Sus scrofa: one gene and its partners. The protein of the gene in region 7 purifies or fractionates together with the protein of the main gene of each other region. This does not show direct contact. Links are inferred from orthologs where the notes say so. Each region holds a gene or a part of one and is shown on either strand. Other genes may lie near its edges. The genes, in order: MAP4K4, SLMAP, GCC2, STRIP1, CTTNBP2, STRN3 and ZRANB1.

Region 1 (3,945 bases), on a different chromosome or scaffold from region 7:
CAACATAAGTGTTTCAAAGAAAGTGATTTTTTTTTTTTTTTTTAAATTGAGGGATTTGGGGTTTTATTTGGGTTTTTTAAATTTTGTTTTTATTTTTGGTTTGGTAACTAAGGCTGAAATGAAACACAAAGGCACATTTTGATTTATTTTTTCCTCCACTTGGAATTTGCTTCCTCTGAATATTTTCTTGCTTCCTACAGTCTTTGTTTCCTGCTGATCCATTTGTAGCCCATTGTTTGGTTTCTTTGAGCTTATTTTCCTGGTTTTCACATTATCTCAGCAAAATGCCTTGTATGTCCCCCGCTACCAAGCTTCAGTGCCACCCTCATTAAATGTTACAGAAGCACAGAAAGGTTGTCCCGATGCCTTTGACTACATTTTCTCTCTCTGGCGTGTCAGCGGAGGGCAGAGAGGGATGGGGCTGGCCAGGTGAGGGTAAGGCTAAGGTGTACTTAGGCCCTCTTGGGGGGTATGTTTTGGTGGGAAAGTCTTTGTTCTCCTCCCCCTAGAGTTTGCAGCAATGTAACTGCTGTATTTTGTACCCCAAGGTTCCTGTGAGAACAACGTCCCGGTCCCCTGTCCTGTCCCGTCGGGACTCCCCACTGCAGGGCGGTGGGCAGCAGAATAGCCAAGCAGGTCAGAGGAACTCCACCAGGTAAGAGGAGTTCGCTGCACCGACTCCTATGGTCTCACACTGTCTGCTTGCAGAAAAGTGCTCAGAGACACAGAGGTTCTGGGGCAAAGACACGATCAGTTTCTAAAAGAAAATACCATCAAATCCATTGATATGCATAACACAGACTGATCCGTGGTGAAAAGAGAAGAGTAGATCCGATTGTGATGGTGGCAGTTCTAAAGTGAAAACTCCCTGTCAGGCGGGTAGGTAGGAGGCACACAGGAGTCCAGGGGGAACTGTAATCCAGCGCTGATTCTCCAAAGGGTGTTGGTGGCCTTGGGAGTGGTACAGACATCACACGCAGGCCATGAAAGAAAAGCCAGTGGTTGACTTACATTCCGCATTAACTCGTGAATTAACCACGTAGAGCTGTTCTATTCTTCAGTTCTATTCTTCACGAGGCCACTTTGATTTGAGGTTCACTGAATTCAAATTAAATAAAATTAACTGCCTGAGCTGCACCAGCCGCATTCCAGGTGTTCAGGAACCACATTCACCTTGTGGTGACCGAATTAGCCAGCTCAGCCATAGAAGGCCACCATCTCAGTTAAGCTCCACTGACCAGTCACTGACCAGTCTGTTTCAGAGGAAGAATTGGTCCAGTTGAATGTTGTGTTCCCTGATTGCCACTGAGCCTCCGAAGGTAGCCTTCTTTACAGGGTCTCTCATATAACTGAGGTAGTGGAACGGGTGGTGGCCAGCAGCTACCAAGAGAGCCTTCCGAGTCTGTATGTGGCCAGGCTGGGCCGTGGCTTCTCCAGGCTGGATTTCGGGTTCTGCTGGGTGGGCCGTGGTTCTCTAGGGTGGACCTTGGGTTCTCCAGGGTAGGCCATGTGTTCTTGTGCACCTGAGTCAGTTCTTGCCTAGTTCTTACCTGGAGAACTCATGTCCTCCACCACGGAGGACAGCTGTGGTGTGTCCATGGCTCTGTCACATTTCCAGCCTAGCTTGTGGGGAAGGAAGCAGGATGTCGCACGGTGTCAGTTCTCGAGAGCAGCGGTGACAGGTGTTGGGGATGATCAGAGTTGTGCAATTACCCAAGTGGGATTTTTTATAATAAGAAACTGAGTTTGGGAGTTCCTGTCATGGCTCATTGGTTAACAAACCTGACTAGCATCCATGAGGATGCGGGATCGATCCCTGGCCTTGCTCAGTGGGTTAAGGATCTGGCATTGCCATGAGCTGTGGTGTAGGTCGCAGACACAGCTCAGATCCTGCACTGCTATGGCTGTGGCATAGGCCGGCTGCTGCAGCTCCGATTTGACCCCTAGCCTGGGAACCTCCATATGCCTCAGGTGCAAAGACAAAAAAAAAAAAAAAAAAAGAAAGAAAGAAACTGAGTTTGTAGCTGTGACAGAAATAGTGACACTTCAGACCGAACAGTAGCGTTTCCTCTCAGGGTGGGATGTCTTTCAGCTCTTTTGGCTTGTTTAGATACCTGAGATAAGATGGGTAGACAATGTGGCTGTAAGTTCTGGTGGGTTCGGTGACACATGCTGCTGGTGGCCGGTGTTCCCACCCTTCCTCCATGTGAGGACATCGTGCACAAGTCTGCCTCACTTGACCCTTCACCTTGGGCAGTGCCTTAGCTGTTCTCTCCTCTTCTTCCCTGACAGCAGTATCGAGCCCCGGCTGCTGTGGGAGAGAGTGGAGAAGCTGGTGCCCAGGCCTGGCAGTGGCAGCTCCTCGGGGTCCAGCAACTCAGGATCCCAGCCTGGGTCCCACCCCGGGTCTCAGAGCGGCTCCGGGGAGCGCTTCAGAGTGAGATGTAGGGGCCTTTCCTGCTCCCCCTCCCTGCCACCTGGCCCCTTGAGCAGTGCGGGTTAGGGGACCCCCCCCCCCCCCAGCAGCTGGAAATCCTCTTGTGTTGTCAGCCTCGTTCCTCTGCACCTGTGGATCCCACCACCTGTGGACCCTGTAGGGCTAGTTACTTACAGTTAAAAAAATACCTGTGCAAACGTGGACCTTGTGAAGTCACACTTGTGTTGTTCAAGGGTTGACCGTATTTTGGAAATCCTTTTCAATCGAGGAGAAGCCCTGTGGTTTTGCATAGCTGCATATAACAAACCCAGTGTGGGCTTGCTAATGACCCTGCACATCACCATAATTTTCATAATGAAGACTTAAGCTTGGAGAGCACTCGAGCACGTCTCATGTGTTCTTGCATTTAATCCTTATAATAACCCCAGGAGAGAGAGGTGTACATTGTGTCCATTTTACAGATTCAGTAACTGCACTTCAGTGAGATTGGGCCACTCGTCCAAGGTGATTGGTTCAGTGTCCACGCTGAGCTTTGAACCCACTCTTTTTCAGTATAAACTCCATCAGGATTGTCCTTAATAGTCATTATTTTAACCTACTCGTCATAGTAGATTAGAGACAGTTTCATCTCCTCTGTCACTGACATGGTCCAGCAAGGTACCATGAGCAGTACCGTGCTGTGGGATGGTGGCGGATTCTGTGTAAGGAGTCAGAAGCCCCAGGGTTCAGGCGCGAGAGTGGAGACCTTGCTGTGAGGGGCTGATGGGTGGGGAGAGGGCGGGCCAGGTGGGCTGGGCGGCTTTGGGGCCATGCTCAAGAGGTTTATGTGTCTCTGCCATTCTTGTCTCCAAACTTGACAGCATCATCCAAGTCTGAAGGCTCTCCATCTCAGCGCCTGGAAAATGCAGCGAAAAAGCCTGAAGATAAAAAAGAAGTTTTGAGACCTCTCAAGCCTGCTGTAAGAATTGCACAAAGTCAGTTTTGCTTATTTCCACCTTGAGTGAGGCCTTGCTGTTAAAGCCGTGTAGCTGCAAGGCCCGAGGGCCTCTGAGGGCCCTGCAGATCAGAGGGCTGATAAGGGCATAAACTGGAAACCTTAAACTCTCCCGTCCCCACTCGACCACCCTTTAATGATCTGAAAACACAAACGAAAGAAAATCCATCTTTCTCTTTGCTTAGCATCCACCGTTACATGGGTTCCTATGAGTTGGGCTTCTAAAGTACCCACTTCTAGAGTAAATGCATCACCTGCTTCGGCTCACGGAGCTTTATTCTGTTCTTTGGTGAGCACGGCAGTGGCACCTGTTTCTTGAACTTGTCCTTAGTCCTTGTCACGTAGCTGACCTGTCACTGTGCACCTCGGGGTTCTGGGCCTGCTGGAGTTTTGTTTCCTGCCTGCATTGATTTCTCTGCCCCCCGCCCCCCTTCCTCCATGCTTCCTGTGCCGTGTCCTCATCCTCGCTGGCTTCTCTGGCTCCCTGGACCACCGCTGACTCCAGGGCGAAGTG
Region 2 (3,945 bases), on a different chromosome or scaffold from region 7:
TCATTTTTCATGTGAGAAATATGGGCTCATATAGGTAAAATGGTTTCTGTAATAGATACATTTCATGTCTTAGAATTAAAAGCGCATAAGTGTTAGATTTCTCTTAGAATGTGGTTTGTGGAGTTACAAAACTCTAAATGGAATTGAGTAAAAAGGGTGAAATTACACCATCTAGTGGAACTAGTGGGTGTTTGGTGGTTTTGTTTTTAAGTAAAACTTTTTACAGCATTAGTGTGATTTTTAATTTCCTGGATATTAGGAATGTTTTAGAAGCTTAAGATAAACTTGGCACCTAGCCCTTTTAAGTGTGTAAGCTGTGTTTTAATGTGGGTTCTGAGGCGATATGACTTTTATTAGATTCCTTAATCTAAAAATCAGTGCCTCTAATTAATCAGATGAAATTTTCCCTAATCGTTATTATCAAGGATATGGAGAGGAGTAAATGTATGCTTTAAACCTCAAGTACTGTGTTCGAAGTATATACTTCTCAGTTGAGGTAACTTAGAGGGAGTAGAGTAGTAAATATTCTTTGGATAATGACAGGAATAGGAGAAAGTGAAATTTAAAGATGTGCCACAACCACAGCTGAGTGCTGTGTGAGCATTTTCACCTTGATTTCCAGTGAAGGAGACCCTCTTAAACTGCTATCAAATGTTAACAAGTGACCTAGAGATAAGGTTCTGCTTGTCAATGTCTTTTTTCAGTAAAAATACTCCTTTGGAGCCACCAAATAGTTATCCTTGACCCTATAATCACATTGAACTAGTGCTTGGTAGACTCTTAGTTATTTTTTGGTGTATTTGATTATGGCAAATTGTTAAACAGTCACAGAGAGAATCAGAACACCTGAAAATGCAGTAGACTTTGAGAATAAAGTAGTCTCTCTTTATATATGCACATATATATATATATATACATATATATATATGTATTTTTTCCTTTTAAAAAGGAAAATTAAGAGGTATTTTTATGTCACACTTGTGTGGCTAAGCCATTTTGAAATATCTTTGCTGCTCACAAGATTAGGTTTAGTTTGGAATGAGTTTATTCTGAGTGCACTCTCTTTCTCTCCATATATATATTTATACATGTACATGTTTTTTAAATGAATGTATATGAAATTCAAGGTTAAAAAATTAGTTGGACCCTTCTACTCAAGATTTTAGTTTTTAACTCCCTATTATGAATTACAAGTAAAAAACAAAAGCAAACCAGATGGCTTATTTTCTGTTATACTGGAAGTTGCAGCTAGAGTACCCCAACAACTGTACTTACAGCTTAACAAATGAGGCTAAAATGATGCGACCTAAATATATTTTACAAAGTTGACTTAACATATTTAAAAGTAAGATACACAATAGGATGTAATATGAGAATATTTTCAGAATGTGCTAAAAAATTGATTACTCTTCAGAGGAATCTTGCTGAGTTTATTAGAATTTCTTTTGTGATTTATAATATTAGGAGGCCTTACATCGGGAACAGATGTTGGAACAGAAGTTAGCCACGCTTCAGCGGCTACTAGCCATCACCCAAGAGGCTTCAGATACCAGCTGGCAGGTATTCCAGTTACCTTTATATTCAAGAAGCATTTAAGCATCGATTAATATCCTTTAAATTTTTTTTCTGGCCTGGCCTTTAGATACTGATTAAACTAAACTAAAATTTTATATCAAAGGCAAAGTTATTTCCTAATGAACAAATATTGAAAACTTTGCATTTTAAAGTGGATGTTGTAATCTTTATGATTTTTATGTCTTGTTTGGCAGTAGCACCATTTTTGATATATGTTATTTCTTAATTACCCTGGGATTTTATTTATATTTGATTTTTCTTCAACAGGCTTTAATAGATGAAGATAGACTCTTATCACGGTTAGAAGTTATGGGAAACCAATTACAGGCATGCTCCAAAGTAAGTATTAATCTCAAGTACATAAAGAAAAATGCATTGTTTTTTACATAGCTTCATTTCTTTGTCATTTTGAATACATGCAAAAACATTATACATCTTCACCACTCTTTTTAAATCTTCTATCATTATGGGAAATTTCAAGCATACATGTAAATGTTAAACATTCTTCTAGCTCTCCCTCCCATGCAATAAATTCAGAGTTTGATCTAGAGATTTAGGTCACTTCTGATTTACGTACAATCTTTTTTTTTTTTTTTTTTCTCGTCAAAACCTTCATGGATAGTGTTGTATACTTTCATCAGGAAGCACCATAATGAGGAGTTCCCATTATGACTCAATGGGTTAAGAACCCGACATAGTGTCCATGAGGATGTGGGCCCCGGCTGCAGCTCTGATTCAACCCCTAGCCCTATGGGAACTTGAATATGCTGCAGGTGCAGTTGTTAAAAAAAAAAAAGCCACCATAAAATCTCATCTTTCTTTTTGAGATATTAGCGATCTTTGATTATTCTTTCCTAGATCCCTTCTTTTATTAAGGGTTGCAGAAATGGTGATATTGTAATTCTACCTTTCCTTCATTTACTAGCTAAATTACTTCTTTAAAGAGAAACTTCCCCTCATAAACCATTTTGTTATCCTGAGGTAAACTTTTTTTAGGAAAAGCCAGGATAGTGATATTTTCCCTTTATTTACTGGATTTCAAAATAATGGTTTGGTTCCTTCTCATCAACCAAAGAATGACCAATGAAGTATTCCCCGCCCCCAACTTAGATTTAAATATATCTCATGTGTTTAAACCTCTTCCATTTGTTTTTCTTACTGAGTCCCAATGATCCCATCTTTCATCTATGGGTACTTCTTCAGGTTGGCACATGATTCCTTTTGGTAGCAGACTTTGATAGCTTCCTGCTGTCATATCAGACAAGATATTCCAGACTCATCTTGTGCATGTCCTGCCTCAGACTTGGAATCAGCTTTTTCCTCAGGATGCTCTTATTTCTTTGGGTTTAATTATTGTTTTAAAATGCCCCTTTAGAGATAAGAGGTTTTTTTTTGTTTTTTGCCCATAAAAGTTAATAGTGTGGCTTTCAGAGAATATGGCAAATAGAAGAGTTAATTCATATTGTATGCTTGAGAGAAATTCTCAATTTATGTTGACTTTTTTTTTTCCTGTTGGAAGTATGAATTAATATGTTTGTGAAGGTATAATTTACTAATGCAGCTTTTAAATACAGCTTCAATTTATACAGAGCCAACATAATTTGTGTTTGGAGGGACCTTGATATAGAAGTCAAAGAGCATAACAATGTTTATTTTTTCAAATTATAAGTTATTAAAACTTGGTTATAATTATAAATATTTTTTAATCCTAGAATCAAACAGAAGATAGTTTACGGAAGGAACTTATAGCATTACAGGAGGATAAACACAACTATGAGACAACAGCCAAAGAGTCCCTGAGGCGAGTTCTTCAGGAGAAAATTGATGTGGTTAGAAAACTTTCAGAAGTTGAGGTATTTAAATTTTACAAATATTCAATAGTAGTATAATTTTAAAATTTTAGCCTCAAGTTGCTAGCATTTCAGGACATTTCAAACTTGGGTATTAGCATATAGCTCGGAAATTTTTCCTGTCTATCTGGGAGGAAGGAGCAATATGCTGTTTTCATTTTCAGGAATTCTTAAGATAACCATGTAAGTTCTGGTGCTTATGGTCCCTAGTCATAATTGAGGAAATAAAAGCCTAACCTGGGAATTTTACTGTTTATGCTTAGGTTAGGATTCAACCTCTACACCATGGACCATGATGCGTGCCAGGGAATTGATCTTCTTTCACGTAGTTTTGTTTCTCTTCCATTTGAGGCTAGTCAGTGTAAGGCAGAGAGCTACTCCGCTATTCTTACTTTACCTATCCTCCAGAGAGGAAAACCACCATTTGGAGGTTTACAGGGGCAGTTATCTCTAAGACCCCTTCTAGGTCTTTTAGGAATAATCAAAATATGTTTCACATTGTTTTAAAACAAGCTAATTG
Region 3 (3,945 bases), on a different chromosome or scaffold from region 7:
CACAGGCTGGACAGTCCGTTCCCCCCACCCCCGACAGATTCATCATAGTGGAAGGACAGATGTCGAGTTACATGAGGACCAAGTAGGAGGAGAGTAAAAATGCTTTCTCAGTGTACTCGGTCACCATTCATTAGGCTAAACAGAGGTTGCTTTAAAACGTTTTACTTATTCAAAAATTTTCAATTTTTTTGTCTTTTTTTAGTGCTGCACCCGAAGCATGTGAATTTCCTAGGCTAAGGGTCAAATCGGCGCTGCAGCAATGTAAGATCTGAGCCGTATCTGGGAGACCAGGGATCGACCCCGCATTCTCATGTATACTAGTCATGTTCGTTAACCACTGAGCCACGACGGGAACTCCCAAAAAGTTTTCAATTTTATCTAGAGTTAAATTTTTCTTCTTAAACTTAGGACCATCTCAGTGGCATACTGTTTCAGTAGTAACTGCTTACAAATGACTTTTGTGCTTATTCAGAACTTCGTGTGTTGTTTATCAATGAAGGCTCAGTGTGCAAAACCGTTACATCTGGCTCTTACTATTCTCAGTAGGACTGGATGGCCTGCAGTGTTTATGCATTTATGCTTTGTCAAACCTCATGTTTAAGTACTTAATACAGGGGAACTGTAGGCTGAAAAGTTTTTTTTTGGTTTTTTTTGTTTGTTTGTTTGTTTTGTTTTCTGTCAGTAGCTCATCTTAAAGCTGAAGGTAAATATCAACACATTTATTATAAAAATACTACCTGGAGTTCCCATCATGGCTCAGCAGAAACGAATCTGACTAGCATCCATGAGGACATGGGTTTGATCCCTGCCTTGATCGGGCCGTGAGCTGTGAGGTCGCAGACATAGCTTGGATCCCACGTTGGTGTGGCTGTGGTATAGGCTGGCAGCTACAGCTCCGATTTGACCCCTAGCCTGGGAACTCCATATGCTGTGGGTAGGCCCCTAAAAAGACAAAAAAACAAAACCAAAAAACCACTAGGGGAGTTCCTGTTGGTGCAACGGGTTAAAGGATCCAGCATTGTCACTGTTGTGGCTTGAGTTTAATCCCTAGTCTGGGGACTTCTGCATGCCTTGAGTGTGGTCAATAAATTAATAAATAATTTTAAAAACAAAATAAATTGTAAAAATTTTTAATAAAAGTATTACCATTTGTGAGTCATTTTTGATCATGCCAGAATTTTGAGTTAAAGTTATTTTATCTTTTTGCTTTTTTTTTTTTTTTTTTCCTAAGGGCTACAGATGAGGCATATGGAATGTTGAGGTTCCCAGGCTAGGGGTCGAATCAGAGCTACAGCTGCTGGCCTACACCATAGCCACAGCAATGTAGGATTCAAGCCTAGTCTTCGACCTATACCACAGCTCATTGCAGTGCCAGATCCTTAACCTGCTGAGCAAGGCTGGGGATCAAACCTGCGTCCTCATGGATACTTGTCAGGTTCGTTTCTGCTGAGCTACAGTGGGAACTCCCAGAGTTAAAGTTATTTTAATGTAAATGTTTTAATTTCTTCCTACTTTCTTAACATTAAGTACTTTTTTTTTTTTTAGGGTTGCACCTGCAGCATATGGAAGTTCTTGGGCTAGAGGATGAATCAGAGCAGTAGCTGCAGGCCTGCACCACAGCCGCAGCAATGCCAGATTCTTAACCCACTGAGTGAAACCAGGAATCAAATCCACATCCTCGTGGATACTAGTCAGGTTCTTAACCTACTGAGCCATGATGGGATCTCCCTATTAAGTACTGAAAAAAAAAAAAAAGTGTATTGTATCACTTGTGGCAGAATTATAGGTTTTAAATGTTTTTCTCCAAAGACTTTCTTTGACTGTAACATGGTGTAATGTGCTGATTTCACAATGCTTAGCTTAGAACTGCATGATTTTTTTTTTTTTTAACTAATGACATAGTCACATAATATAAAGTAGACCATTTTGATGCCATTTACTGGTCTGCTTGGAGTTCCCACTATGGTGCAATGGGTTAAGAATCCAACTTCAGGGAGTTCCCGTCGTGGCTCAGGGGAAATGCATCTGACTAGCATCCATGAGGACACGGGTTCAATCCCTGGCCTCGCTCATTGGGTTAAGGATCCAGTATTGCCATGAGCTGTGGTGTGGATCACAGATATGGTTCTGGCATTGCTATGGCTGTGGTGTAGGCTGGCAGCTGCAGCTCTGATTTGTCCCCTAGCCTGGGAACCTCCATGTGCCAGGGGTGTAGCCCTAAAAAGACAAAAAATGAAAAGAATCCAACTGCAGCAGTTTGGGGTCACTGCGGAGGTGTGGGTTTGGTCCCCGGCCACATACAGTAGGTTAAAGGATCCAGTGTTGCTGCAGCTGTGGTTCGGGTTCAGTCCCTGGCCTGAGAACTTGCATATGCTGAGTGCAGCCATTAAAAAAACAAAGCCAAAAAAAAATATCGAAATTTGTAAATCCAGAGACTTATAAATATGTAGTGTCTGAGGTTTAAAGTCTGACTATAGCATGTTTTATTTCACATTTAATTCTATTCTGTGAGCATTATACTGATTATACTTCCTTTAAAATCATCCACAGTAATGGCAAGAATAATTAAGTGATTGAAGTCAAATTTATTTGAAACCACACAATGAAATGTCTGTCTTTCCAAAAAAATTGTTGAACTATTTTTTTTCTATTTTAGAGAACATCTGGAAATGCTGATTGACCAACTGAAAATCAAATTACAAGACACTCAAAATAACTTGCAGGTCCACGTCTCTGAACTGCAGGCACTGCAGTCTGAGCATGATGCCCTGCTGGAGAGGAATAGCCGGCTGCTGCAGGAGACCGTGTCCAAGGAGGCTGAGCTCCGGGAAAAGTAAGGGGGGTGCGGCACGGTGACACCAGTCTGCAAGGCACATGTGCGCTGGGGAAGATGCAGGCTGAAAGGTAGATGTAGGTATTTGCTGCTTCTACCTTAAAGCTCCCCCTTTGGGATTGTTCTGTATTTTGCTTTAATTTTTTGCCTTTTTTTTTTTTTTTTTTTTTGCCTTTTGGGGCTGCATCTGCAGCATATGGAGGTTCCCAGGCTAGGGGTTGAATCGGAGCTACAGCTGCCAGCCTACGTCATAGCCACAGCAACGCCAGATCCTCAACTCACTGAACGAGCAAGGCCAGTATCGAACCTGTGTCCTCATGGTTACTAGTCAGATTTGTTTCCACTGAGCCCTGATAGGAACTCCAGCCTCTTCTTTTTTAAACATCTTAATAACCCTGCTCTCTCTGTAGGAGACTGTAAAGGTAACTCTGGGGGAGTCGCTCGGCCGACACCCAAGCTGCCCTGAGGACAGAGCAGCAGTCTAGGCAGGGGCTCATGGAGGCAATCCTGTCCCTGCCGTCGCTTGAGGCCTGGAAGCCCCTTAAGCTCTCCCCGTAGCTTTTATCCTCCATAGAGACTTGTCGCTGCCACCAGCTCTTCCTTTACTTGTCGGTGGGTGTTGTTTGAACAAAGTGCTAGAGAGAATCTAAAGTCATCCATCTGTGACCTTGGCAATTAAGACACCTCTTTTGAAACATTGTGTTTTTACTGCAGGTCTCCCTTTAGCCACTCAGCCTTATTTAAAACTTTGTATCATGTGCTCCCCTGTAGCACATAGGAAAAATCTCAGAGAGCTCTGTGCTGGGCTCTTTCCCCCAAGAGCTGGACTTCATATTGCAGGGGTGGAGTGGATAAAAGAAGGCTCTTGTTTTTTCTGTAATTGGTTCCATATTGTTTGAATTTCCAAGAGTATACTTATATAAAAAGAAAAATGATGTTTTACCAAAGTCAGATATATAAAATCATAAGTCTTATCTTACTTAACTATAGTTAAGTCAGATATATCAACACTCTAAGTGAATCATTAAAGCTAGCAATTCCCCAGTCAGTGTCAGGTGGACTACAGTAAAAGTGGCCAATTGCCAGCCCTGCTTTCGGTTTTCTCATGCGGT
Region 4 (4,458 bases), on a different chromosome or scaffold from region 7:
TAGTCTCCTAACCTGTGTGTCCTCACCTACTCTTGCAATTTCTCAATCCCTCTCCAAAAGCGGCCAGACTGGTCTTTTCAACATCAGACCATGACACCTGCCTGGTAAACACTTTTTGATGGTTTTCCATTTCCCGTAGGATAAAATCCAAAGTCCTGTCAGTGCTTTTCAAGGCCCTCTAATTCTCTGGCCCTTGCATTTACCCAGCCCTCATCTCCTACTATTCTTCCCCTGTTTCTCTCATTTTGTACCACACCACTTTAGAGCCTCTGCAGTTAGCTGGTCCCTCTGCCTGTGTTTCTTCCGTGGATCTGGGTGGCTCTCCCTCACTTGTTTCAGAACTCATTCAAAATCTCACCCTTGAAGTTCCCGTCGTGGCGCAGTGGTTAATGAATCCGACTAAGAACCATGAGGTTGCAGGTTCGATCCCTGCCCTTGCTCAGTGGGTTAACAATCCAGCGTTGCCTGAGCTGTGGTGTGCGTTGCAGACGCGGCTCGGATCCCGCGTTGTTGTGGCTCTGGTGTAGGCCGGTGGCTACAGCTCCGATTCGACCCCTAGACTCCTGGGAACCTCCAGGTGCCACGGGAAGCGGCCCTAGAAATGGCAAAAAGACAAAAAAAACGAAAACAAAATCTCACCCTCAGGCCTGCCTTTCTTAAGCAGCCTACCTATTATAGCCCTGCCACACTTCCCCGCCCCTATTACTACCACCTTTGAATCCTTTGTACTTCTTTTTTCCCCTTAATTAAAAATTTTATTTATTTGTTTGTTTATGTAGGCCACAGCTACCGGCATGCGGAATTTCCTAGGCCAGAGAAAATCGAACGGGAGCCACAGCAGTGACAAAGCCAAGTCCTTAACTGCTAGGCCACCAGGGAACTCCCCCTTACACTTCTTTTTGTTTCTTCTCAGAGCTTACTTGTCTAATCTGTTTGTTTGTGTGCACATCGTCTCTCCCACTAGACACTGTGTTATGTACCGTTAGTGCAGGCATTTGATTTCGTTCCTCATTCTATCACATGCTTGGAGCATACCAGATATCCATTAAATGTCTAATGAATAAGTGATTAATGAATGCCATAACTGTAATTGTTTTATTGATTTATTCATTTTTTTCGCACCTCTCCCCCCATGGAAACGCCATGAAGACTGGAATTGTGTCCATTTTGTTCATATCTCCAAAGCTTTGAACAGGGCTGTAACAGTGACAAGCGCAAAGAGATGGTGAAGGCAGGAGTTGGGCAGGCCTAAACTGACTTAAGGGGTTTATGGGCTACGCAGATAAAAAGACCTCTAAACTGGGACCCACACAGAGTAAAAACCAAAGGGGCAGAGGAGGATAGGAAGGCAAATAGAAGAAATATCGCGAACTGTTGGGCAGCCAAGATGGCTTCCGGCACTTGCCGCCACACTTAATATGGCGATCAGGGAGCGTTCCGGGAGGAAATCACGCGAGAGTTTCATCGCAGCAACTGTCGTTGAACTGAGCCGAGCCGGGGGTGTGGAGCAGCCAAGATGGAGCCGGCACTCGGCGGTCCCGGTCCTCTAATCATGAACAACAAGCAGCCCCAGCCGCCTCCACCTCCGCCGCCCGCAGTCGCGCAGCCTCCGCCTGGGGCACCGCGGGCCGGCGGGGGCCTCCTGCCCGGGGGCAAAGCCCGAGAGTTCAACCGCAACCAGCGCAAAGACTCGGAGGTAGGAGCTTCGGGGGGCGAGGTTCGAACCAGGCGGGCGGAGGCTCTGGGGCCGGGGTCGCTCTCGGGTTCAAGCTGGGCCGGGTTCGGCAGAGGAGGTTTTGTTTGTTTGTTTGCTTGTTTAACAGCGAAAGGAGCAGGACGCAAAGCTGGCATCCCCGGGGCGGGAGACTTGAAACCGGGGTCCCCCTCCCCGAGTTCCGCCGCCAGGTAGAACCCTTCTGGAGCCTATGTCCGCTCTTAGGCTCCTCTGCGGCCGGGGCTGTGGGCGAGGCCTCTGGGGATTCCATCCCCTGCCCCCAGTTCAAGGGTGAAGAGTCAGTGGTCTGCGTGCGCTCCAGAGGGCAGCGCGGCTACACCCCCAACCCCCTAATCGTCTCTGGCTTCTGGTCCCGCGGGTTCCGCAGCGCAAGGCGGCGAAGGGTGTGTGTGGGCAGGGAAGAGACTGGCGAGGGTTTGGAAGGCACCTCGAAGACGGACTGAGCTAATTAGCACCGATGTACTGTGCGCCGAGGTGGGGAGAGAAGGAGGGAGAAACAGTCCTGTCCACTCTGACCTTAGCCACTGCAGGTTCGGGCCATGGTTTGACAATGCCTGGTGGTTGGTGTGCCCAGTGCGCCCGATGCTGACCTATTAAAGATGAAAAATATGTTTATCTAAACACGCGTTAGGAAGCCGCTTTCCCTCCGTTCTTGCTAGTGGGTTGTTCCCCCCCTTTCGGAGACACCGTAGTTTGGAGCTCACCCCGCATTAAAGAATTACACTCCCATTGCCTCCCATCGCAGAATTCATGAATGAAGACACACACGTCGCAGCGTTTCAGGCTTCTTAATCAGCACATTGCCAGCGCCCTTACTGTGAGGGCTCCTTCACCTGAGACGACTCCGAGGCTGATTAGCAGTCAGGTGCTTATTATTATTATTAATGAGAGGGAATTCTGCATTGTCCAGGCATAAGGTACCAGTTCATTGCAGAGTGCTGATGCCGTCTTTGGGCCTGTGAAATCAGTTCCTCTCAAGCTCTTGGGTGTTGTTGCATGAGCAATCTTCTGGTAAAACATCAAAATTTGGCAAGTTCCAGTCAGATACACTTTGAGCTTGAGGTGAGTTATTTGAAAAGGCAATGAAACTGACCTTTTAGTAGCCCTGGCATGGTGGGCTGATTGGACGTCAGTGGGGACTTCCTAATAATTTTTCAAGGATGGAGGATTTTGAAAGTGGTAATGAATAATCCACCTTCATCAGAAGAGGAGTTCTAGTGTGGGGTTTGTTTTTGTTTTTTCCTTTTTATAGCCACACCTGTGGCCTATGGAAGTTCCCAGGCCAGGGGTTGAATCCGAGCTGCAGATGCATGCCTCCATCACAGCCACAGCAATGCAGGATCTGAGCCAGATCTGCGACCTATGCCACAGGTTGCAGCAACGCCCCATCCTTAGCCCAGTGAGTGAGGCCGGGGATCGAGATCGAACCTGCATCCTCATGAATACTATGAGTTCTTAACCCACCAAGCCACAACAAGCACTCCCCCTAGTTTTTAAATAGTTAAAAAATTTCCTAAGTGGCCATTAAATGCACTTTGATGGATTCGAATTTTTCTTTCTAACCTTTAATTTCCATGTAGACTCAACACATACAAGGTTAGTGAACACATTTAAGCTGAGGGACCTGTCTAAATCTGTTTCTTACAGATATTAATGCCACTCTTTGTTGTGTCTTAGCTGAAATCAGTAGGCTGGGAACCTGAGGGGTGCCTGCAGGACCCGGGGGGAGGCATTTGATGGGAGCCCACTGTGTGCTACACAATTTTGATTAGTCCTTAAAAAAACCTTCATGATAGATTTTTTTGTCATCCTCATTCCATAAATGAAGAAACTGAAGCTCAGTAACTTATGAAAGAACATGCACTCTTTGGCCCCAATAAGGAGTTCTTCGTGTTAGTCAGTGTTTGTGGGTGTTTTACATCATTTTCGAGTGGTCTTTATCTTCCCAGGTCAATTGTAATCAAGCCTGAGGACTGCCTTTTTCTTCATCTCTTCTCTTTTCCCGGAACATGGCTTCCAAGATGGTGTGTTGTCAGCTAGTGACCTATCCCCAGCAGTAAAAAGATTCTCTTTGTCACCTCCTCTCCCGCGTGTGGGAGGAAGGAGCCATTTCTGTTCAGCTGCTGTCTTCTCCGTCAGTTCTCACTGAAATTTGAGAGAAGGGCAGGAGGGCTGAGGGTGTGTATACTCATATAGTCCTGAGCTATGGATAGGTCACTAGCTAGAAGGAATGACGCTTCCAAAATCTGAGCACCATGTGGGATGGTCATTTCACCGCACAGATTACACGGAAGCTTTAGTGTTCATTCCTCCAACAAGTAGTTATTTGGGTGTGAACTATTCATTCAGTCCGTTGTTCATGCCCAGTAGGATGCTGGGCATTGTGGACTCATTGGTGAGCAAAATGGACAAAGTTCTTGCTCTTAAGGAATCTGCAGTCTCATGGAGAAGCAGACACTAAACGAATACACATGTGCATTTATAATTATGAGTTAGGATAAATGCTGTGAAGTAGTACAGGTTGTTCTGAGAGGGAGACCTGAGCTAGCCCAGGGGACAAAATATTGTGATAAGGCATCAGCAAAGTGAAGGTAGTGACATCCTGTAACACAGCAGGGTCTCTGGAAGCATATGTGTTCATTCCTTTGGAAAACACTCACGGTGATCTTTTGCATGACTCGCCTTTCCTCACCAGGGCTATTCCGAGTCTCCAGACCTCGAGT
Region 5 (3,672 bases), on a different chromosome or scaffold from region 7:
AACTTGGGTACTTTCCAACCAGAGACTCACCTGTTGTATTTGGACAATCAAACTCTCTGGACAAAGTAGAATTGAGTAGCTTATTTAGCCTTGCTGGAAATGAGTCGAAATACTTAACCACTGGAAAAATAAGGTAACAGTGAAAATCTTGCAAATTTTATATCCTTTTATTTTTTGCCAAGTGATTTTTTTTTAATAGGTTATCATCTTCTGACTTTTTAAAAGACTTTTAAAAAGACTGTTTTTCGTGCATTCGCTAATAGTTTTACATCAAGGCTTAAAGTCACAGGACCTGGGGGTCTGTTGTATAGAGCTTCTGACAGTAAGAGAGGCTCACACTTCTGATGTGAGTTTGCCACAGTGACTTTAAGTCTTGCCTTGAGTGTGTCACAGTGCAACTGAAATCATGGTCAATTTTCTGTTCTCCAGATTGCTGATTCCAGGGATGATTTAAGGAGGTTTGATAGTTCGGGAAATAATCCTGCATTTTCAGCAACTGTTAATAATCCAAGAATGCCAGTGTCACAAGAGGTAAGTGCCCCTTCTCCCTCCAAAATGGGACAAAGGATTGTTGTGGAATTGACTTCACAAATCTCTCAATATGCCATCACGAAGTTACTTTAAAAACCCTCACTGGGAAATGAACAGGATTAGGGTAGAAGCATTCATGAGGAAATCAAGTTTAGAAACTTTGCTCTTTGGATAACAGCTTGAAATAATCACATAGAAAAGCATTACTTGGTTTTCCTTATATTTAAATGCTGAAAAAATTTTGATTCCAAAATTGGGGGTGTTTCTTTTCCATTTGTTTTCATTAGTTTATGCCAAAACTGAAACTAATGGAACTTCTGTCCTCTTCTATTTTAAAATGAAACATTGACTTTCATTCGAGAACCATTTTGGAAAACCGAAGTTTAAAAATCTCACTTCTAGTTTTACTTTAACTTGCCATATCATGCATTGCGTTTCAGTGAGAGATTTTCCTTTAAAAACAAAGCAGAATGGAGTTCCCATAATGGCACAGTGGTTAACAAATCCGACTGGGAGTCAGGAGGTTGCAGGTTCGATCCCTGCCTCGCTCAGTGGGTTGAGGATCCGGTGTTGCCATGAGCTGTGTGGTGTAGGCCACAGACACAGCTCCGATCCTGTGTTGCTGTGGCTCTGATGTAGGCCAGTGGCTGCAGCTCCGATTAGACCCCTAGCCTGGGAACCTCCATATGCCACCAGAGCAGCCCTGGAAAAGGCAAAAAGACAAAAAAATAAAATAAATAAATGAAAATAAAGCAGAATGTCAAAGAGTCAAGATTCTAATCAAGTTGATTAACCTCTTGAAATTAACTTACAGGATTGATTAAATAAATTCCAAGAGAGGGGTGGCCCAGCGTGGTACTTCTGGGTGAACAGAAACAATAAAACTACCTCTTACCCAGTAGTGATTTTGTGAGGATACACATTTTTATTGTTGTTGTTTTTCTTTTTTAGGGCCACACCCGCAGCATATGAGTTTCAAGGCTAGGGGTCAAATTGGAGCTACAGCTGCCAGCCTACACCCCAGCCACAGCAACTCAGGATCTGAGCCGTATCTGTGACCTACACCGCAGCTCATAGCAACCCGGGATTCTTAACCCACTGCACGAGGCCAGAGGTGGGAATGCAGATCCTCATGGATACTAGTGGATTTGTTTCTGCTGAGCCACCCCAGGAACTCCCAGGATGCACATTTTCTAAGAGGCATGTGGTAACTTGTGCTTTGCTCACCAAGCCTTGTCGATGGTAGTTCACATCCTGCTCTCATCCACTCCCCGGCAGCTGACACAGACCTGATGGGGGGTGGGGAGGAGTGCAGAGGGCAGTATTATAAAGTGAGCGTGCTGAGACTTTAAATTGTCCATCTTTGTCGGATCACCAGCCGGCCCTGGTCCCCGCCGCCTCTGCTTCCTTAGTTTCGGTCCTGATTATTTACATGTGGAGCTATGTGTGTTGGGAGGAATTGTGGCAGGGCCGTGGTCTCGAATAAAAAATACATAACCTGAGGATCTGTGAAGAAGAGCATGACCCCTCTCGGGCTCATTCTGTATTACGTCTGCTTACCCCACCCCTGGGGAACCGTTTAGAAGCACAGCGAAAGCATAATTTGGAGAGTGTGGAGCGTGACTAAGGAGGGGATCTGGGGTCCGTACTGTGAATTCCAGCCAGAAAGTATTTTTTCCGGAGCTGCCTCTGAGCTGTAATTCACAACACATTTCTTGGGGCTCCAGGATCCCTCGTGAGGATTCTTTGTGGAATAGTCCTTGGGAAGGGGCACAATGAGCCACTCTCTGTCCACAGGGCCCCGTCACTTTCCTATATAAAAATATTGACTCAGTGAGTGGCTGCTGTTGTGTAATGTCTAATGGAGACAGTTTTGTACCTTTCTCTGCCACATGGCCATATTGGGTTGTGACAATAAGGTACTGTCCATGAAAAATAGTACTGAAAGTAGGATAAGCCTGGAACAACTTTGTTTTAAAAAGGGGCCTTTCACACTTCTGGGCTCTTAAAAAAGAACCATGGAGTGGTTTGATGTGGGTATTACAATAAGGGGCTGCCTGTTCTTTGCCCCCTCAACACATTCCGAGGACTAGCCTTTGGTGAATACATGTTTTTCTCAGAACCTGCCAGCAGAGGGCGAAATAATACTCTTGGCATTCGGGAGCCTTCTGGAAACTTCACAAGCTCCTGTCTTTTCTATCCTTCTGATAAACTCAGTGAGCCTTTCTTGGTTAGATGCCCAGTTTCTTCTGTTATCAGGAAGTAATTCCCTTTAGAAGTCAGGGTTTTCTGTGTTAACTGAAATCACTTTCTCCTGAGTGGCCAGCAAGGGGTCTATTAAGTAAAATGTTAGCCAGCCTTCTACATTAAAAAAAAAAGTATACATAAATACATAGTATCTATATTAATAAATGTTTTCTTCTTATGAAAATGCAGATTGAACCCCCTAAAGCAAATGCAGATGGAACCCCCTAAAGCAGAAGTTCTTATCTTTGGTTGCATAATGAATCCTCCTTTTTTTTCCCCCTTATCCTCAGTGGCTGGACCACATGAGGTCCTAATGTAATTGGTCTGAGGTGCAGCCTTGACCCTGGGGTTTTTAAAAGCTTCCTGCTGATTGTTACATGCAGCCCGAGCTTAGAGCCCTGTCTCTAACACCTACCTCTGAGCTGTCTTTACCCTTCCTCTTTCGCATGGAATTCTTTCCTCTTCACCTGTAACAGGTCCAAGTCCTTAAAGAACCATTGCCATAGCCTCTTCCCTTCCCTGTTTTCTTTTCCTTCTCCCTGCTGCCCATTTAGAGAGCTGAGATTATAGTATCCTCTTCTCTTCCCCCGAATGCTCAATATTGAGTTAATAGCTCTGATGTGACAATATTTCTTTGATGCTAAATGACTAAATCTTCTTTTAGGGGTGATGTCTTTCTGTGCCAACCAGAGATGTTTTTTGAGCTTTATACTCACAGTATTGAGAGTAATCCTTACATGTTTAATAAAGGGAACTTTTGGGATTTAGCCCAGGAAGCATTATATTCTCACCTTTGAATGACCGTGACCCTCCCAAAGCCCAAGTGATTCTCCATGTGCTCCTCCCTTCTCCAAGGACTGGCTCAGGTCACATGTCGACACCCAGACTCAAGAC
Region 6 (3,945 bases), on a different chromosome or scaffold from region 7:
TATGTATTTTAAACACACCCTAACAAACAAAAACTCCACATGCCTATCAGTTAACTACTTTTACCACTAAATATTGTGCTCTTTCTTTTTAGTTGCCTGCCAATAAAGATGCCTTTCGAAAGACATGGAACCCCAAGTATACACTACGTAGCCATTTCGATGGAGTACGAGCATTAGCTTTTCATCCTGTAGAACCTGTGCTGGTTACTGCCTCTGAGGACCATACTCTGAAACTTTGGAACTTGCAAAAAACAGTTCCTGCCAAAAAGCAAGTATTTTAATGTTAACCTGTGGTTTTTTCCTTCCAAATTTGCTAATTATAAGCAATATTCTTCTTATGGTCCTGTGTCTTTTATGCACTCGTTTGATCTTACCTAGTGACTCTTGAATATCAACCACTGATTTACGATTATTTGTCCCCCCCCCTTTTTTCCCCTCTTTTAGGAGTGCCTCTTTAGATGTAGAGCCTATCTACACATTTAGGGCCCACATGTAAGTTTTTTGAATTAGTACTTAATTAACAATCATAGTTCTTGTTAACTATTATTTGTCGATCTTGAAGCCTTGCAATTTTCTCATGTTTGTTTTAAATTAGAGGGAGTTCCCATCGTGGCTTAGTGGTTAACGAATCTGACTAGGAACCATGAGGTTGTGGGTTCCATCCCTGGCCTCGCTCAGTGGGTTAAGGATCCGGCATTGCCATTAGCTGTGATATAGGCCGCAGACGCGGCTCAGATCCCGCGTTGCTGTGGCTATGGTGTAGGCCAGCAGCTACAGCTCCGATTAGACCCCTAGCCTGGGAACCTCCATATGCTTGGGTGTGGCCCTAGGAAAAAAGAAAAAAGAAAAGATAGATTAATTGACTAATATTTCATTCGATTAATAATTGTGTAGTAAGAATATAATCAGTATTGTTCAAATGTATGTGTTTATCTAAACTGTTTTAGGTACCACATAAATTTAGAGAAAGGTTGGGGGGATGCAGATATGAGTTTCTTCTTAGTCTTTGTAAGTAATTGTTTTCCTCTTTTTCTGTAATAGTGGTCCTGTTCTATCATTAGCTATTAGTTCTAATGGTGAACAGTGTTTTAGTGGTGGTATTGATGCAACTATCCAGTGGTGGAATATGCCTAGTCCTAATGTGGATCCATATGATACATATGGTAAGTAAAAGGCTCAAGATATTTTTTTAAGTGGATGGAGCAGACAAAAATAATTACCTCAACTATTATAAGATCGTTTAAAGATACATTGGTCTTTTCATTTACTAGTAATAGTACTTTGATTTACTAGCAATTTGCTTTATGAAAGAGAAAAATTAAGAAATACAATGCCATGAATATTTATCTTGCAAGAAGTATAGTTGATTTATAATATTGTGCTAGTTTTCAGGCATACAACACAGCGATTCTGTTTTTTTTTTTTTTTTGCGATTCTGTTTTTTATACACACATACACACACACACATATTCACACACATTCTTTTTCAGAATCTTTTCCATTATGGGTAAGGAGAATAACATTTAGTACAAGAAACAGTTTTTAAAACTTAGTTTATGTAGTTCATAAATATTTAGTGAGAGATGATAAAAACAAATAGAGACATGAGAGTGTGTAAATCAGTGAACATTTTAGAGGACCAAAAAATTCCTTAGTTAAGAAAACAAAACTTTTGGAATTCCCGTTCTGGCTCAGCTGAAACGAAGCTGAGGAGTAACCATGAGGATGCAGATTCTATCCCTGGCCTCATTCAGTGGGTTAAGGATCTGGCATTGCTGTGAGCTGTGTAAGTCACAAACTCTGCTCAGATCTCGTGTTGCTGTGGCTATGGTGTAGGCCAGCAGCTGCAGCTCCAATTGAGCCCCTAGCCTAGGAACTTCCATATGCCACGGGCGCAGCCCTAAAAAGACAAAGCAACAATAGCTTTAACTCACAAATGCCACTTTGAGAATCTAACAGATGGAGTTCCCGTCGTGGTGCAGTGGTTAACGAATCCGACTAGGAACCCTGAGGTTGCGGGTTCAATCACTGGCCTTGCTCAGTGGGTTAAGGATCCCGCGTTGCTGTGAGCTGTGGTATAGGTCACAGATGCGGCTCGGATCCCGCGTTGCTGTGGCTCTGGCGTAGGCTGGCGGCTACAGCTCCGATTGGACCCCTAGCCTGGGAACCTCCATATGCCACGCAGGAGCGGCTCAAGAAAAGGCAAAGAGACAAAAAAAAAAAAAAAAAAAAAGGAATCTGACTAACAGAAATATTTGCACACACATTAAAATATATACAAGGGCAATTGTTTATAATCAAAAAAATTAAAATGGAACAGATGTTTATTAGTGCGAGAATGGTTAAGTAAATCGTGGTCTACTTAATCACTGGCTCATTTAAAAAGAATTCACGAGCTCTTTGATCTTTTTATTTAACACACACTTGAGGCCTAAATTTGCCAGGTGTAGTGTTAAGCATACATCAAGAAATAAGACTTGGCGTTCCCCTGGCAGCTTATTAGCAGGTTAAGAACCTGACTAGTATCCATGAGGATGCGGGTTCCATCCCTGGCCTCGCTTAGCAGGTTAAGGATCCAGCATTGCCTCAAGGTGTGGCGTAAGTTGGCAGATGCAGCTCAAATCCAGTGTTGCTGTGGCATAAGGCTGCAGCTCCAGTGAGACCCCTAGCCCAGGAACTTTCAAATGCTGCTGCTGCTGCTGCAGCCCTAAAAAAAAATAAAAGAGTTCCTGTTGTGGTGCAGCAGAAACAAATCCAACTAGGAACCATGAGGTTGCAGGTTTGATTCCCTGGCCCTCACTCAGTGGGTTAAGGATCTGGCATTGCTGTGGCTGTGGTGTAGGCCAGCAGCTGTAGCTCCGATTCGACCCCTAACCTGGGAACCTCCATATGCCATGGGTGCGGCCCTAAAAAAAAGACAAAAGACCAAAGAAAGAAAGAAAACTTAGTCTAATAGAAAAAGATAAGCCTTAAACACATAAGCAAGGGGATGGATAGTTACACATTATGGTATGAAGTATGGTATGAAGATAACTGATACCTACCAAGAGAGGAGAGTAACAGGCAGAACCCTATTTAGATGTAGAATAAAATAATGGCATTCAAGCTGAAATCTAGAGAATAAAAGTTAAACGTTTAGTAAAGAGTTTTAAGCTAGGAAGTGTCCTATAAATGTAGAATTTAAAAAGATAACTCTTGCTGTTGCAAGGAAAATAGATTGGGGGTGGGAAGAGTGGAGAAAAAAATATCAATGTCATTTAATGTAAAGTTGTAACAGTGATTCCAGTAGATTAGGTGAGAGATAATGTTGTCAAGATTAGAGTGGTCGTAGAGCAGTGGTAGCAGAGCACTTGGAGAGAAATGGATTTAAGGCATGCTGGATTGAAATGTCCATGTACTAAGCCTCAAAACAACAATAAAATTCTCAATTATGAAAGAAAAAAAAAAAAGACATGCTGGAGAGGTGGGGGGAATAGACAGAATATATGATAAATTGGATTAAGTGGATGAAATGATGGATGAGTGACTTATTCTTTAACAGCTTTATTTAGGTACAATTCACATGATAAAATTCACACTTTTGAAGTATACATTTCAGTAGTTTTTACCATATTCACAGGGATGGGCAACCATTACCACTGTTTATTTCAGAACTTTCGTCACCACTCCTGCATTTTTGGCATGAGCAATTGAGTATATGATGGTAGCATATTGAAATGGGGACAGACAGGTGTGAGAAGATAAAGGATGGTGAGTTCAGTTTTTTGGCATGTTAAGAGATGGTAATCTTAAGTAAGTATATCAGTATCAAGATGTGAGAATGGATGGTATTATGTAGGGAGAATATGTCATGTAGAGTAGAAAGAGAAGACAAAATCCTGAGGAACTCTGACATTGGGGGCCAGGAGTAGTTAGAGCAAGAGAGGCAATGAAGAAAACTGAGAA
Region 7 (3,997 bases):
AGGGGCCACTTCTCTGCCTTGGTTGCCATGGAGAACGACGGCTATGGTAACCGAGGCGCTGGTGCTAACCTGAACACCGATGACGACGTCACGGTCACCTTTCTGCCCCTGGTGGACAGTGAGAGGAAGCTACTCCACGTGCACTTTCTTTCTGCTCAGGAGGTGAGGAGCCCGTTTCTCTCTTAACTACCTCACGCAGCGGCGCTGTGCCAGAGCCAGCCGTAGGGTGTCTTTCAGGCGTGGTTAGCTGCACTACCACTTAAAATTCTGAATTTGGTCAAAGTAATCGTCATTTTCCATAAATAGTGGTTAGATAGGCTTTGAAACTTACCTTTCAGAGCTGCTGTATGGGATGTGTTAGGTGGAGGTGACGCCGTGAAGACCAGAGTCCCTGGCCTGGGTGGTGATGAGTGCTCAGGAGGGGAAGCTCAGAGATGGAGCAGGGGACGGAGGGGCCGTGGGGCTTGGGGTGCCCCTGGGTGTCGGGAAGGCCTCGCTGAGGAGGTGACACCTGAACGAGGCCCGCACGAGGAAGGAGCTCTGCCACACCGGGGGGAGAGCTCCTGGTGGAGGGAAGTGCCAGGCCAGGTGGTTTACGAGGATGGGCATAAGACAGGTGGGGGTGGAGGTGGGGGGGGCTGGGAGTCAGTTAGTGGGTCTTTTAAATCTCAGGCTTTTACTCTGGGTGAGCTGGGGAGCCAACAGCCAGTTCGTCCAGAAGAGGAACCCTGGCTGCTCAGTTGAGACTAGACCCTGGGCAGTGGTGGGGCAAGAGCAGCACATAGGAGAGGGCCGTAGGTGCGGCGGGGAAGGTGGTGTAGAGGGGGCAGGGAGGTGTGAAGACGTGAAGGGCACTCTCAGAAAACCCATCTTCCTGTAAGGTCACCGGTCCTTTATTTAATACACTAGGGACTCTTACAGAACTGTTATAACCACGGCATTAAGAAAGAGATTGAGAAACTTTTGAAACTTCAGCCTTTGCATAGCTTGGAATAAACTTAGCCTGTCTGGTTTGAAGCTGTAACGTTCTAGCTTTTCCTTTGCCAGGATCAGTTTATTTGATAGCATGTGATTTTTGCTATTGAACACATTAAGTTATTACCGGATTATTCTCCCCTCTAGGTTTTTCTGTGGATTTTCCCATTAGTGGTTTTTTCTATTTAACCATAGGAAACTGGGTTTTAATCATAAAAGTGATGATAGGAGGAAACCATGTTGAAACACTTTGTTGCTCTGGCCTTTTCATTGCTCATACGAGCTGGTAGGTGTCTATTAATTTTCCTGTCAGGGAGTTCCCGTTGTGGCTCAGCGGAAACGAACCTGAAACTAGGATCCATGAGGACCCAGGTTCCATCCCTGGTCTTGCCTAGTGGGTTAAGGATCTGGTGTTGCTGTGAGCCGGGGTGTAGGTCACAGATGCGGCTCGGATCTGGTGTTGCTGTGGCGTAGGCCAGCAGCTATAGCTCCGATTTGACCCCCAGCCTGGGAACTTGCGCACGCTGTGAGTGTGGACTTATAAAAAGACCCCCGCCCTCCAAATTTCCTATCTAGTCTCTGATCTGTTGTGTTATTTTTGCTTTTCTTCCCGTTCCTCTAAAAGCTAGGTAACGAGGAACAGCAAGAAAAACTGCTCAGGGAGTGGCTGGACTGCTGTGTGACTGAGGGGGGCGTTCTGGTCGCCATGCAGAAGAGCTCTCGGCGCCGAAACCACCCCCTGGTCACGCAGATGGTAGAAAAGTGGCTTGACCGCTACCGACAGATCCGGCCCTGTACCTCCCTGTCGGACGGAGAGGAGGATGAAGACGATGAAGACGAGTGAAGACAAACCCAGGAGCAGAAGACCAAGGTACCAGCTCTGTCGCGACCCCACCATCAGTGTGGTGCTGCAGGCAGAGCGCACGGCATGGCATGAAGGGACTGGGCAGCAGCTGCTTGGAAGGGTTTTCTGATCCACACCCGGCGGAGATGATGCGTCTGCTGCAGGAGGAGACAGAGACCTTTGGACTCCAGTTTGTAAAAAACTAATTTTATTAAGACAGAACTTTTTTCCTTTCAAGTTGTAAATCTGTCTATAAATGTAACGCATGTGGTTGTGTAAGAAGTCGTGTGATAGGAAAAGTCGTACCAGCATCTTCATGTCATTGAGAAGTTTTCCAGCACGGGCACCTCCAAAAGCACATGGCACGTGACTCTTTGTTCCTTTGAGATAATTCTTCTTTAAGTAGAACCTGGCATTCTCCTTCCATCTTAAGAGACCCATTGTCCATCACGTCTCGCTAGAGCTCGCTGGAGATTTGGAACGTCTTTGTACAAATTATCCACAGCAAAACAGAAAAATAAAAACAAGCTTTTATTTTATTAATAATTTAGTTCCTGTTGTGCCCAATAAAATAAAATCGAATCTTTGAGGAACAGACTGTAAGGAAAGTTAAGAATTGCTTATCGAGTGCATTCACATAGACCTCGTTCCTGCGTTTTGGTTTCTATTATTTTGTGTTTTTAAGGTTTTTCCGGTATGCCCCTTTTCAGTATTTAGGTATTTATTTGTTTGGAAGAGTGCCCTTAAAATGAGGGATCTTCCACCAGACTCTGGGCAGGAGTCTCTTTGTGAGCAGTTAGTCCTGGGTATAAACTGGGGGCGCGCTTGGGGAGCTGGCCTGCTCGCAAGTAACTGAACGGGTTGTGCGAAATTTGCTCCCTTGACTCTGTTCAGACAATGTTGTACTCCCAAGTTTCCCTACAGAAGGTCTTTGGATTCTTACTGTCTTTTATCAACTCTGCTTTAAGCAAATCGTGTTAGAAAGGCATGCCTTTGCTTGGGCTAATTGGGACTATTAGTTCAGTAGAGAATAAAGATTTAAGAATGCAGTTTAAGGTGGTAAACGCATTGTATAATGAATTTCTCAGTGAATATTCTGAGAATTTTTGCATGTTGGTTAACTGTGGCCATTCTTATTTAAAGTTTGAAAACTTTAGTCTTAGGTAGAAAAATTTTCTATATAAAGTATTATTTGACCACTTCAGGTATACATTCAATACTGGGTAAAAGTTTCAGACCCATCTCAGGAACACAGAAAGACGTAGTGTCCTGATACGCACTTTGTAGATTATTGATGTGCCCCCCCCCCGCCCCCGCCCCACACAGACAGCACACGCAACACACACACACTCTTCCTTCCCTTTGATGAAGAGGCTGTGAAAACCTTTAAATACTTGCTTTACATGTTTTCTTCTAAGTTCTGTTTAGATGGTTTTGAAGTGTGCACAACCTCAGATTTGATGCTGGAATACTAAAAAGAGAACAGTACCTGTGAGATGTCATGTCTGTAGTTTTCTTTCCTCTCTGAACACTCACTGAAAGGTGTGCCCAAGATGAAAGGGTCGCTTTGGATGTATGCTGAAACTTGCAGGAAAGAGATTTGCAGTTTGAGTCCATATAAATGAATTTTGATAAAATAATGGTGTATGTTACTGTTCCAAGTGGCTAATGTTTTCTTGCAAATTGACTCTGTGGTTTGCTTTCATTTGGGATAGTTCAAGGTTTTAGGAGGCTGCCATTCTGACTTTAGCACAGCAGACTTTTCCTGTTATATGGGAGGAATTCTTTAGTGGCCAGACATCCTGCTCTAGTTGGTGTTCAGCAACTACCCTCCTGGTTGAAGAAGCCAAAGAGAAACACGTGAGCATCAGTTGCTAGTGTGTGCGCGACAGTCCGTGCTGTCTAGAAAACTGCAGGCTCAGTGTTGAGGCTGTGTGTGTTGTGATTTCCCCGAGGTGCCTCTTTCTTTACTCACGCGTCAGTGACCACATTTAGTTTAGCAGGTACAGCTCTCTTCCCTGTGGGAAAAAATTATACGTGACCCCATTTCCTAGGCTCTGGACAGGGATGGGACTTTAAGTGGTTTTCGGATTGGCTGGTAAAGGCCAAAATTTGGGGTGAATCAATGCTTTGTTAAGCTCTTGAACTATCAAACAGCCATAACCATTGTCCCAAGAC

Evidence for each region.
Region 1: the proteins of ZRANB1 (region 7) and MAP4K4 purify together in Homo sapiens (affinity purification with mass spectrometry; 3 studies listed by BioGRID and IntAct, with this or other methods). This does not show direct contact. The link is inferred for Sus scrofa from reciprocal best matches to the Homo sapiens genes ZRANB1 and MAP4K4.
Region 2: the proteins of ZRANB1 (region 7) and SLMAP purify together in Homo sapiens (affinity purification with mass spectrometry; 3 studies listed by BioGRID and IntAct, with this or other methods). This does not show direct contact. The link is inferred for Sus scrofa from reciprocal best matches to the Homo sapiens genes ZRANB1 and SLMAP.
Region 3: the proteins of ZRANB1 (region 7) and GCC2 purify together in Homo sapiens (affinity purification with mass spectrometry; 3 studies listed by BioGRID and IntAct, with this or other methods). This does not show direct contact. The link is inferred for Sus scrofa from reciprocal best matches to the Homo sapiens genes ZRANB1 and GCC2.
Region 4: the proteins of ZRANB1 (region 7) and STRIP1 purify together in Homo sapiens (affinity purification with mass spectrometry; 4 studies listed by BioGRID and IntAct, with this or other methods). This does not show direct contact. The link is inferred for Sus scrofa from reciprocal best matches to the Homo sapiens genes ZRANB1 and STRIP1.
Region 5: the proteins of ZRANB1 (region 7) and CTTNBP2 purify together in Homo sapiens (affinity purification with mass spectrometry; 3 studies listed by BioGRID and IntAct, with this or other methods). This does not show direct contact. The link is inferred for Sus scrofa from reciprocal best matches to the Homo sapiens genes ZRANB1 and CTTNBP2.
Region 6: the proteins of ZRANB1 (region 7) and STRN3 purify together in Homo sapiens (affinity purification with mass spectrometry; 4 studies listed by BioGRID and IntAct, with this or other methods). This does not show direct contact. The link is inferred for Sus scrofa from reciprocal best matches to the Homo sapiens genes ZRANB1 and STRN3.

Annotation. Positions count from the first base shown.
Region 1 is NC_010445.4:52,509,811-52,513,755, reverse strand, and holds part of MAP4K4 (mitogen-activated protein kinase kinase kinase kinase 4), read left to right. Parts: intron 1-548; coding exon 549-655; intron 656-2,292; coding exon 2,293-2,444; intron 2,445-3,297; coding exon 3,298-3,395; intron 3,396-3,936; coding exon 3,937-3,945.
Region 2 is NC_010455.5:39,659,729-39,663,673, forward strand, and holds part of SLMAP (sarcolemmal membrane-associated protein), read left to right. Parts: intron 1-1,464; coding exon 1,465-1,560; intron 1,561-1,842; coding exon 1,843-1,914; intron 1,915-3,287; coding exon 3,288-3,428; intron 3,429-3,945. UniProt on the Homo sapiens protein: Associates with the striatin-interacting phosphatase and kinase (STRIPAK) core complex, forming the extended (SIKE1:SLMAP)STRIPAK complex.
Region 3 is NC_010445.4:47,727,902-47,731,846, reverse strand, and holds part of GCC2 (GRIP and coiled-coil domain-containing protein 2), read left to right. Parts: intron 1-2,656; coding exon 2,657-2,833; intron 2,834-3,945. UniProt on the Homo sapiens protein: Golgin which probably tethers transport vesicles to the trans-Golgi network (TGN) and regulates vesicular transport between the endosomes and the Golgi.
Region 4 is NC_010446.5:110,077,840-110,082,297, reverse strand, and holds the start of STRIP1 (striatin-interacting protein 1), read left to right. Parts: upstream 1-1,280; 5' UTR 1,281-1,516; coding exon 1,517-1,696; intron 1,697-4,430; coding exon 4,431-4,458. UniProt on the Homo sapiens protein: Plays a role in the regulation of cell morphology and cytoskeletal organization. Required in the cortical actin filament dynamics and cell shape. Part of the striatin-interacting phosphatase and kinase (STRIPAK) complexes.
Region 5 is NC_010460.4:28,567,101-28,570,772, forward strand, and holds part of CTTNBP2 (cortactin-binding protein 2), read left to right. Parts: intron 1-429; coding exon 430-531; intron 532-3,672. UniProt on the Homo sapiens protein: Regulates the dendritic spine distribution of CTTN/cortactin in hippocampal neurons, and thus controls dendritic spinogenesis and dendritic spine maintenance.
Region 6 is NC_010449.5:68,557,788-68,561,732, forward strand, and holds part of STRN3 (striatin-3), read left to right. Parts: intron 1-92; coding exon 93-268; intron 269-444; coding exon 445-492; intron 493-1,041; coding exon 1,042-1,163; intron 1,164-3,945. UniProt on the Homo sapiens protein: Calmodulin-binding scaffolding protein which is the center of the striatin-interacting phosphatase and kinase (STRIPAK) complexes.
Region 7 is NC_010456.5:134,324,380-134,328,376, forward strand, and holds the end of ZRANB1 (ubiquitin thioesterase ZRANB1), read left to right. Parts: coding exon 1-162; intron 163-1,600; coding exon 1,601-1,819; 3' UTR 1,820-3,314; downstream 3,315-3,997. UniProt on the Homo sapiens protein: Ubiquitin thioesterase, which specifically hydrolyzes 'Lys-29'-linked and 'Lys-33'-linked diubiquitin. Also cleaves 'Lys-63'-linked chains, but with 40-fold less efficiency compared to 'Lys-29'-linked ones.